2 linked regions of the Nothobranchius furzeri genome follow. The protein of the gene in region 1 interacts with the protein of each later gene in a pairwise test. Links are inferred from orthologs where the notes say so. Each region holds a gene or a part of one and is shown on either strand. Other genes may lie near its edges. The genes, in order: znrd2 and cct5.

Region 1 (4,555 bases):
TAGATAGATAGATAGATAGATAGATAGATAGATAGATAGATAGATGATAGATACATACATACATACATACATACATACATACATACATACATACATACATACATACATACATACATACATACATACATACATACATACATACATACATACATACATACATCACCACAGGCATATATAAGCAAACGTCGGATGCCATCTTAGATGGGCCTCCATTCACCCCAGTGCATTCATTTCTACTGAGGAAGGTGCTTATCCAACTTGAAATCACATTTTATCAAGCTTTTTTCACGAAATCAGACACATGGTATGGTATAATAATTAAAAGTAGATGAAATAAATTAAGATATAAAATTCCATCAGGTAGGCTAGAAAGGTCCATAGTAATCCCATGTGATCTGTTTTCAATAGTACGCCAGTTGTTGCAATCATAGATATGTATATAAACACATGACAAACACACGATTCATGACAGAATAAAAGAAAGTCAATAAATAGGTCGAGAAATAGTGAAAATACAAAATAATTAGCTGGGTTACATTTTATTGCTGGCGGCCCATTCTAGCTGACCGATGTAATTTGGATGTTGGTTGTCTTATTTTTTGGGGTGCACATTTTGCATATGTGTTCTGTTTATGTGGGCTTACCTCAAAATAATCTTGAAACATCTCTAAACAAAACCTATTTCACAGAACAGGAATAGATTAAGGCTAAATTATGTATGTATATATATATATATATATATATATATATATATATATATATATATATATATATATTGCTGGCTACCTGTCCAGGGTGTACCCCTCCTGTATGCCCGTTGACTGCTGGAGATAGGCTCCAGTGCCAATACAAAAAAATAAAAAAATAAATCCCCAAACACAGCCATTTGGACAAAAAATAATTGGCTGTCGTAAAATCGTTATTGGTTTTGTAAAACCAAATAAATTACTTATTGTGGTCTCAACCTGAATAACACGCAAATAGCCTATAGGTGGGGCACATGGTTCACAATTAAGTCACTTTCAAAAGCAAAACCGTTTATTTTAACATTTGCAAGTATGTTATCTCAAGCCTATGTGTTCTAAGGTTTGTATCAAGGCAAATCGCTTGTAAATGTGTTAATATTTAATCGAGTAAAGATTGTTTTACATCAAGCTGATCGCTCACCTTCCAGCTGCTACCATTGAGAGCAGAGGTCTGTTGTCTGGGGTAAGATGGCCGCCGTTTAGCTACGCCCTCAACTCTCGCTTTCACCAACTAGTGTTTATATCATGTATATGTCGATGGTTTATATACACATAGCTATGGTAGGCTGGAAAAAACGGGCAAATTTGTCCACTCTGCATTGACTTTGGACAGTAAGGAGACCCATCCAATATGGCGGCGACACAGTGACGCTCTCCAGCGCCGGGTGTCTACATGTCTATGCGCATCACCCCCACATGGGGGCGCTCTAACCCGCTGCATGGTTTCAGTTTGATGAACGAAGAGGAAGTCGACGACAGCGCCTGATGTCATCACGCAGAACGTGTAGCACTGAAGCAACATGGCTTTGAATGGAGGTATGTGAACTTAACTGTTATTTCCTTGCTAACTTTGCCGTTTCACTGTGTGTTTTAGTGTCTTACGTCGTTTGGCACTCATTTAAGCGGTGATTTCTGCGGTATTTTTATTTTTATTGTAATATTTTTCATCGCCACCGGGGAAAGTGTTATCTCCACGATAACAGCGTTGTATTTCTGGCTAACTTGTCATTTCCTGACCCCTTTTGATAAAAATTCAGCCAAACAACGAGAAAATAAATCACCACGCGTAAATATTAAAGCTGTGTTTCTGGTTGTGTAGCTTTGCACTGGTGCGATTCAGTTAATTTACTCCGTTGTTGCTGACCTGCAGATGAAGAGGACTTTGAGTGGGAACCTCCATGTGAGGCGGAGATGAAGGTGATCCAAGCTCGAAGGGAACGGCAAGATAAAATCAGCAAGCTGATGGGAGACTACCTTCTAAAAGGCTACAAGATGCTGGGGGAGTGCTGCGATGCTTGCGGGGTGAGTTCAGGCCCGAGGCGGTTCTGGGGTGGGTCCAGGGTGGGCCAGTGCCACCCTGACAGCAATCTTGCACCTCTCTGTGGCCTCCCTGCTGAGGACAGAGCCTAAGCATTAATAAGGAATTTATCTTTTGTTTTATGAAAGTATTTTTGCAAAATGTTTACTTACTGACTTATTCAAATTACCTTAAGAGAACTGCGGTTATCATTTTGTTGTAATGACACACTAAAAAAGGTAAAAGCAAATCTTCAAAACAAGCTAAGCTTAAACTCAAACACTGTCAAGGAACGCTCACCCCTCCCATCAGCGATTGTCCTTGGCCGGAAACAGGAACCTGCATTGCCAGAGGAAAAGAGATGGCGCTAAACACCGGTCACTGTTTTCTAGGTCCAAACATCTTTTGTTGACTGACTTCAAGTGGTGTTTTTTTGTTCTTTTTGGGCCTCTGGTAGTTTGTCCTGAAGTTGAAGTAGTAACAAATATTATAAAACATAATTATGGCTATATAAGTGATTGTGTGTATTCGTGTGTGTGTTTTCAGACTATTCTTCTACAGGACAAGCAGCAGAAGAACTACTGTGTCTCGTGTCAGGAGCTGGACTCTGATATCGACAAAGATAACCCTGGTGAGCGCCAGTTGTGTCTGCTCTCCCCTGATTTTGGAGCTCATTAGGCCCTAAAAAAGGGCAGCTGGTTCCTCTGTGGTGTCTTTAGGATTTAATCTCTCCAGTTCATATTTCAGTCCCACCTCTTTGTTCCGTTTTCCAGCTCTGAATGCTCAGGCTGCATTGTCTCAGGTGAGAGAGCAGCAGCTTGCAGCTCAGTCCCCTCCACCGACCCAAGCCTCTCAACTCAACGAGACACCCTGCAGCAGCAGTCAGGCAGGGGTGACGGTTCCTCAACCCCGACCAGAGCACTGTGAGGGCGCTGCTGCTGGAGGAAGAGCCCTCCTGCCTCCACCTCCCGCCCCATCTCCTTCAGCTCCTGTCTCCAGCCCAAGCGTAGCTCCCATTCGTACCCCTGTCAGTCCGCAGAGCGCCGCTCTACGACCTGTGCTGCAGGAAGCCGAGGAAGCAGTTCTTACTAAACTTCGCTGGGCCACTACCCAGTTACAGAGTTCATCCTCACTTGAGGCAAGCATCCAGCTCTGCAGCCTCATCACCAGCTGCGCCAGCTCACTGCGCAGCCTCAAGGAGCTCAGCCAGTAACCACAGGAGACTGGTTGACTCTACGGAGTGACGGGAATATCTTTTCTTGTTCTGGCTGCTGTAGGGTACAAACTTTGGGTCGGCTTTATCTCTCTGCCTAATTCTTTGCTTAAAGCTCAAATTAAATGGAAATTGGATCACAATTCAAATGTGCTCAAGTTCCTCTTGAAAAAGTGTAGGTGTGCCGATGGTAGAAGTATGTTGCTTTTGTCAAACTGTAAATTATGAGTACAAACATTCATCAGTTGTCAAAGCAGATCGACTTTCTTTAGTTGTCTTTGATCGTTTGATGAGTAAAAAAGGTTTGATGTAAATAACATAGTGTGTCTGTGAGGACATTTTGTAGTTCAAATTTTAAATTGAGACTCAGAATCTTCATTTTCATATTTAATCTAGAACATACACACCTTTCCCGCTGTACATTATTAGGACTTAATATTTGAAAAAATTAGTGATCCGTTTTCTAATTATGTGACTTAGAATAAATTCAGTTCTGCTCTGTAGATGATCATTTTGTCCACCAGAGGGCGCCGGTTTACATGCTAGCACATAGGTGGTTAAATAAAAAGTTTATTCTCAAATGTGCAACTTTCATGTAAATCCTTCGTTTTAACTCGCTAATCTGAAGCCTTTTGGAAACTGACAGTTTTTCTTATATAAAGTGTTTGTGATGAAGCTGTTGAATTATTTCACTGCCATTTTGTGTTTGGACTACATGACATGTCCTAATTTAAACAGAAACAAGATAAAAAACGTGTGAACTGATCAAATTGAGCAAATCTAGTAGAAAAAAAATAAATAAATGTAGTGATCAAATCGGCTATATCCAGTCCAGAAAATATATTACTGTTGCGTTTTAAACCATCAGGCTTTGTTCAGAAACCACCTAAGTAACTGGCTAGTGTCTTCATTAATCTGACATAAGGATTAATTAGCTGCATCAGGAAGGTTTTGAAGGCAGACATTAATGCATTGTGTCTCATTAGGGGACCACCGGTGAATGCCCCCATCTGCACAAAGAGCAGCATTTATTTATTACCAGGTGAGGACGCTCGGCGTTCCTACAGCCGATCCACCGCGATAAACAGGAGTTTGAGCAGAGCCGCGGCCCTAAACGCAGCTGAGGGGCTTCCGCCGCTGCCCGAGAGCCTGAGCGGCATCCTGAACTTAAGCGGCGGCTCGAGGAGGGACCCTATATATACTGTATGTTGATGGGGGGGGACCTGCAGGAGGTGCACAGCAAAAGAACCAGAATCCAGGCAGAAATCAGCAGCAGAGCAGGAGGCAGAGAGGTGCTGA
Region 2 (4,565 bases), on another chromosome or scaffold:
ATTTGCATAATTGGTGTCTCCTAAAGCTGAGGCAGAGAGGAAAAACAGATTATTCACCAGCAAACGTTCAGAATGTTCACCAGCGTGCAGAAGAGTGTTGTAATAATTTACTAAAACCTCTTTTGCAAATGTTAGCCCCTATTTGTACACCACAAAAAAATGACCTTTGACCTGCTTTTGAGATTTACCTAAAAGTGCAAAGCAAAGGTGTTTATAGTGGTCAGAGGAAAGAGTGTTCTTCTTGATCCGCCTTACAAATTTGAGGGCATTGTCTGGTGGTTCTCCGTCTCCAGTGGTGGACGTAACAAAGATCACTGGGGCATGCTCCGTCTCCAAATTGTACTGGAATCAGTTACATGATTAGTTACTTGGGTTTATGTAATCCAAGTGAAAATGCATTCAGTTAAAACCCGCTACCTCAGGGACCTCATGTTGAAAGATCTCTGTGGATTTCTTACAAGAAGATGACTTAGGCTTGAATAAACTGTATGCAAAAGTTAATCCAGATGTATGTACGGATTTACGCACAATTCCTTCATATGATCCATCAAAGGTGATATTGAGCATAAGTGAACACTGGACACATAATATGCATGCTTTATTATCCAACAATGTAATTGCAACACGTGAAGTTATTATTTATTTTTTGTGCATCTGGTGTTAACAATATTTATTTTCACTGTTTCCCTGCAAGCCCACTATTAAGTGTCACCAAACACGCAGGTAAAGGTAGAAAAGCACATAAGCCAGCCGTGAAATAGGTGTGGGAAAAGGGTGCATGCTACGATGATTTAGTGTTAATACATGAGTAGTCTGACCTGCTAGACTCGTCCTAATACACGAGGCCCCTGGCAAATTCCTGCGGCTACTGAGTCTGTTTCACGTAAATTTATTAACATCTACCTTCTCATTTTGGTCCAAGCAGCTGAGATCAGCAGTCAGACCGTGCTCCTCAGCCTCCTCGGCTATCCCCTCAGCTATAGCCTGAGCTTGGCCCTTCTGGGACCCAAACAGCACCACAAATCGATGCTTCACCTCACAAGGCATGCTGGGGGGAAACAGATAAACAGATAAATATTTAGGCAATTCTAAAACGCCACAGGTAAAATAGTGAGACTAACTAATCAATTATCAGCTGCATTTTAACAAACATCTCAGCTTACCAACATACTTGGACAAATAAAAGGCAGGCTGCCACAGAAACACGTTTAACACACCGCTACGCCACCATTACCGTCAGTACCAGGATGTTGCGTCAAACTTTGACTAGTTACCAAAACAGCGCACGTGGACGTTTTTCACTCAAGAACACTTTATGAACATAACATTTCATATTTGGTCCGTAAACTAATTCGGAATTCCGAGAAACTCGACTCACTTTCTTTAGAGAATCGTGTTTTCTGGCATTAGTCCGTAATAAATACACAGGAAATACAAGCAGTTTAAAGTTAATAAAGTATTTCTACCTTTTTAAATTGTATGAAAATTCACCTCGTCAACTCCTTGCCAACATACCGGTAATTAGTCTTGTTACTGAATTCACGCGAGATCTGAGCTCAAACTGAGATTGCGCGTGATCGGAACAAACCAAGTTACGACAAAGACGTTCCCCTTGTTTAAAATTTGTTGTCAGTTGCAATGATATTAATTTGTATGATTGTGACTAATTTATGATATAGTTGTTCAAGCCTTTTGTCGTTTATAAAAAAGGTGACAGGAATGGAAGAAAACACGCTGAACTGAATTTGGTTCCGCCCTCCCCACCCGTGGAGCCTTCCAGAAGTCCCCGGCAGATCCGTGCGGCTTGCAGTTCAGCCACACTCCAGGATCACATCATTAAACGCGTTATTCTGTCAGATAAACGCCGATTGTGTGTTCTAAACTCCAAATCAGCATGTCCACTTTGGGCACATTAGCCTTTGATGAATATGGAAGGCCCTTCATCATCATTAAAGACCAAGACAAGAAGACACGCTTATCGGGCATTGATGCACTGAAGGTACAATGAGCTAGCTAGCATACATGTAGCGTGATGGCCTAACAAGCAAACCTGCTATTAGATATTTAATTTGGTTACAACACGAATTTATACATACGGCTTTGTGTTGCATGAGTGAATTTGTCCAACACATTCTGATGTTTGTGCAAAATAAGCTGAATTAGATTAGGAAATGAAATGAATTCGTTAGCTATGCTAAGAAGAGGCCCATGTGCTCCCTGTGCGTTCATCTAGTAGGAGGTGCTACATAGGGCTGTACCCTGCATGGTCATGTACATCACCCATACAGCCGACACGCTGTTTACATGCCTTTTGAGGGTGACTTTTAGAGGTAAAATGTGTTTTGATATGCACTTGTTTTGTTTTACAGTCTCACATAATGGCAGCCAAGGCAGTGGCATCAACGCTTAAGACATCTTTGGGTCCAAACGGTACGATCCAGTGCAGTGATGTCATTTCACTTGAATAACTGCTGAGATGTCGAGAGTCTGTGTGACCATTAGATTATTAATTTAATCTAGTTACAAACACAGCAGGTTTACCATGTCATGTCACCGTTTAGGTCTTGACAAGATGATGGTTGACAAGGATGGAGAAGTAACTGTCACTAATGATGGCGCCACCATTCTCAGCATGATGGATGTGGACCACCAGATTGCCAAGCTGATGGTGGAACTGTCCAAATCCCAAGATGATGAGATTGGTGATGGAACCACTGGAGTTGTTGGTGTGTAAACGTGTGCAGAAGGAACATTGTGTGAATGCTTTTTGTAGATGAACATGTGATATATGTTCTGTGTTAATTAATTTTATATAGAATTCTTGGTTAGTATTGATATTTTTATTTTAGTTAAATAGTTTTAATTCGGTAAAGTGCATAAAATTAGGTTTTGGCAGGTAAATTATGAGTTCCTAAAAGTGATTTGTGTGCTGCTACTATTGGGGCATTTTAGCATGCAAATGAATCAGAAAATGTCTAGATATCGGCCAAAAAGTGACAACTCGTATCGGCAATGACTCATACTTGTTGGTATTGGGGAAAGAAAACCCCATAACGGTCTACCTCCACTACCTACTGCTCTTCTAATGCATTTCTGACTCTGTTTACCTATTTTCCTGCATCCTCAGTGCTGGCTGGATCGCTGCTTGAGCAGGCCGAGCAGCTGCTGGACCGAGGAATCCACCCCATCAGGATCTCCGATGGTTACGACCAAGCTGCACGCATAGCCATAGAGCAGCTGGACAAAATAGCAGAAACTTTCCCCTTCGATCCCAACAACACCGAACCACTCATTCAGACTGCCATGACAACGCTGGGGTCAAAAGTGTAAATTAAATTATTATTTTAGTAGTTGTTGATGCCATTTTCCTGTGCCCCTGTGACCTGGCTGCTTTTTAAGTGAGTTATTGAGATTTGACAAATCACCTTTTAATCCTATTGTTGTTATCTAGCATCAACCGGTGCCACAGACAGATGGCGGAAATTGCAGTGAATGCCATCCTCACTGTGGCCGACATGGAAAGGAAGGATGTAGACTTTGAGCTCATCAAGGTGGAGGGCAAGGTGGGAGGAAAGCTGGAGGACACACAGCTCATTAAGGGAGTCATAGTGGATAAGGAGTTCAGCCACCCTCAGATGCCCAAGGTATGATTTAAAATATAAATGTTTGTTGTAAATATTGCTGCATTTTTGTGATGCTTTAACGTGCCTGAGCTAACAAATTCTCTTTTCAATTAGCTTCTCAAAGATGTTAAAATCGCTATTCTAACCTGCCCGTTTGAGCCTCCTAAACCCAAGACCAAACACAAGTTGGATGTGACCTCCGTTGAGGACTACAAAGCCCTCCAGAATTATGAAAAAGAGAAGTTTGAGGAGATGATCCAGCAGGTTAGTAATTCTCACAAATCCCGATGCTACAAAAATGACTTTTTGTGGTTCATGCAAATCAAGGAAGAATAAAAACACCTTAATTCTAGGTCAAAAGCACTGGTGCTAACTTGGCCATCTGCCAGTGGGGCTTTGATGATGAGGCCAACCATCTTCTGCTGCAAAGCGAGCTGCCTGCTGTGCGCTGGGTTGGAGGGCCTGAGATTGAGGTGAGGTAGAAGTCTTGCATGTGAAAGGTCAGAATGAGCTACCCTTGCTACGAGCTCACCCTTTGGTGTTTTGTTAGTTGATTGCTATAGCTACCGGAGGCCGTATTGTGCCGAGGTTCTGCGAGCTGACACCAGAGAAGCTCGGAACCGCTGGCTTGGTGAAGGAGATCTCCTTTGGCACAACCAAGGATCACATGCTCGTCATCCAGGAGTGCAAAAACACCAGGGCTGTAACCATTTTCATCCGAGGCGGCAACAAAATGGTACGCTCTCACAAGGCTGTATCGTTTTTGTCCTTTTTCATCACATTCATGTCTAATGGTCAAAACCTTTTCATTAGATCATTGAGGAAGCCAAGCGTGCTCTCCACGATGCTCTGTGTGTAATCCGCAATTTGGTGAAAGATAACCGTATTGTGTATGGGGGCGGAGCTTCAGAGATAGCCTGTGCCCTGGCTGTCAACCAGGCT

What was found.
Region 2: the proteins of znrd2 (region 1) and cct5 interact in binary tests that used the Homo sapiens proteins (3 or more experiments, as listed by UniProt). The two-hybrid records come from large-scale screens. The link is inferred for Nothobranchius furzeri from reciprocal best matches to the Homo sapiens genes ZNRD2 and CCT5.

What each region holds. Positions count from the first base shown.
Region 1 is NC_091750.1:56,221,793-56,226,347, reverse strand, and holds znrd2 (protein ZNRD2), read left to right. Parts: upstream 1-1,467; 5' UTR 1,468-1,546; coding exon 1,547-1,562; intron 1,563-1,896; coding exon 1,897-2,048; intron 2,049-2,589; coding exon 2,590-2,674; intron 2,675-2,816; coding exon 2,817-3,256; 3' UTR 3,257-3,545; coding exon of another isoform or gene 3,546-3,558; 3' UTR 3,559-3,931; downstream 3,932-4,555. Other genes in the region: leucine repeat adapter protein 25-like, read left to right, coding at 3,546-3,558, 4,182-4,442, 4,475-4,555. UniProt on the Homo sapiens protein: Might play a role in mitosis. Antigenic molecule. Could be a centromere-associated protein. May induce anti-centromere antibodies.
Region 2 is NC_091747.1:54,098,013-54,102,577, reverse strand, and holds the start of cct5 (T-complex protein 1 subunit epsilon), read left to right. Parts: upstream 1-1,740; 5' UTR 1,741-1,894; coding exon 1,895-1,999; intron 2,000-2,369; coding exon 2,370-2,430; intron 2,431-2,561; coding exon 2,562-2,726; intron 2,727-3,127; coding exon 3,128-3,326; intron 3,327-3,451; coding exon 3,452-3,644; intron 3,645-3,737; coding exon 3,738-3,887; intron 3,888-3,976; coding exon 3,977-4,096; intron 4,097-4,173; coding exon 4,174-4,359; intron 4,360-4,436; coding exon 4,437-4,565. Other genes in the region: mtrr (methionine synthase reductase), read right to left, coding at 1-26, 189-342, 904-1,047. UniProt on the Homo sapiens protein: Component of the chaperonin-containing T-complex (TRiC), a molecular chaperone complex that assists the folding of actin, tubulin and other proteins upon ATP hydrolysis.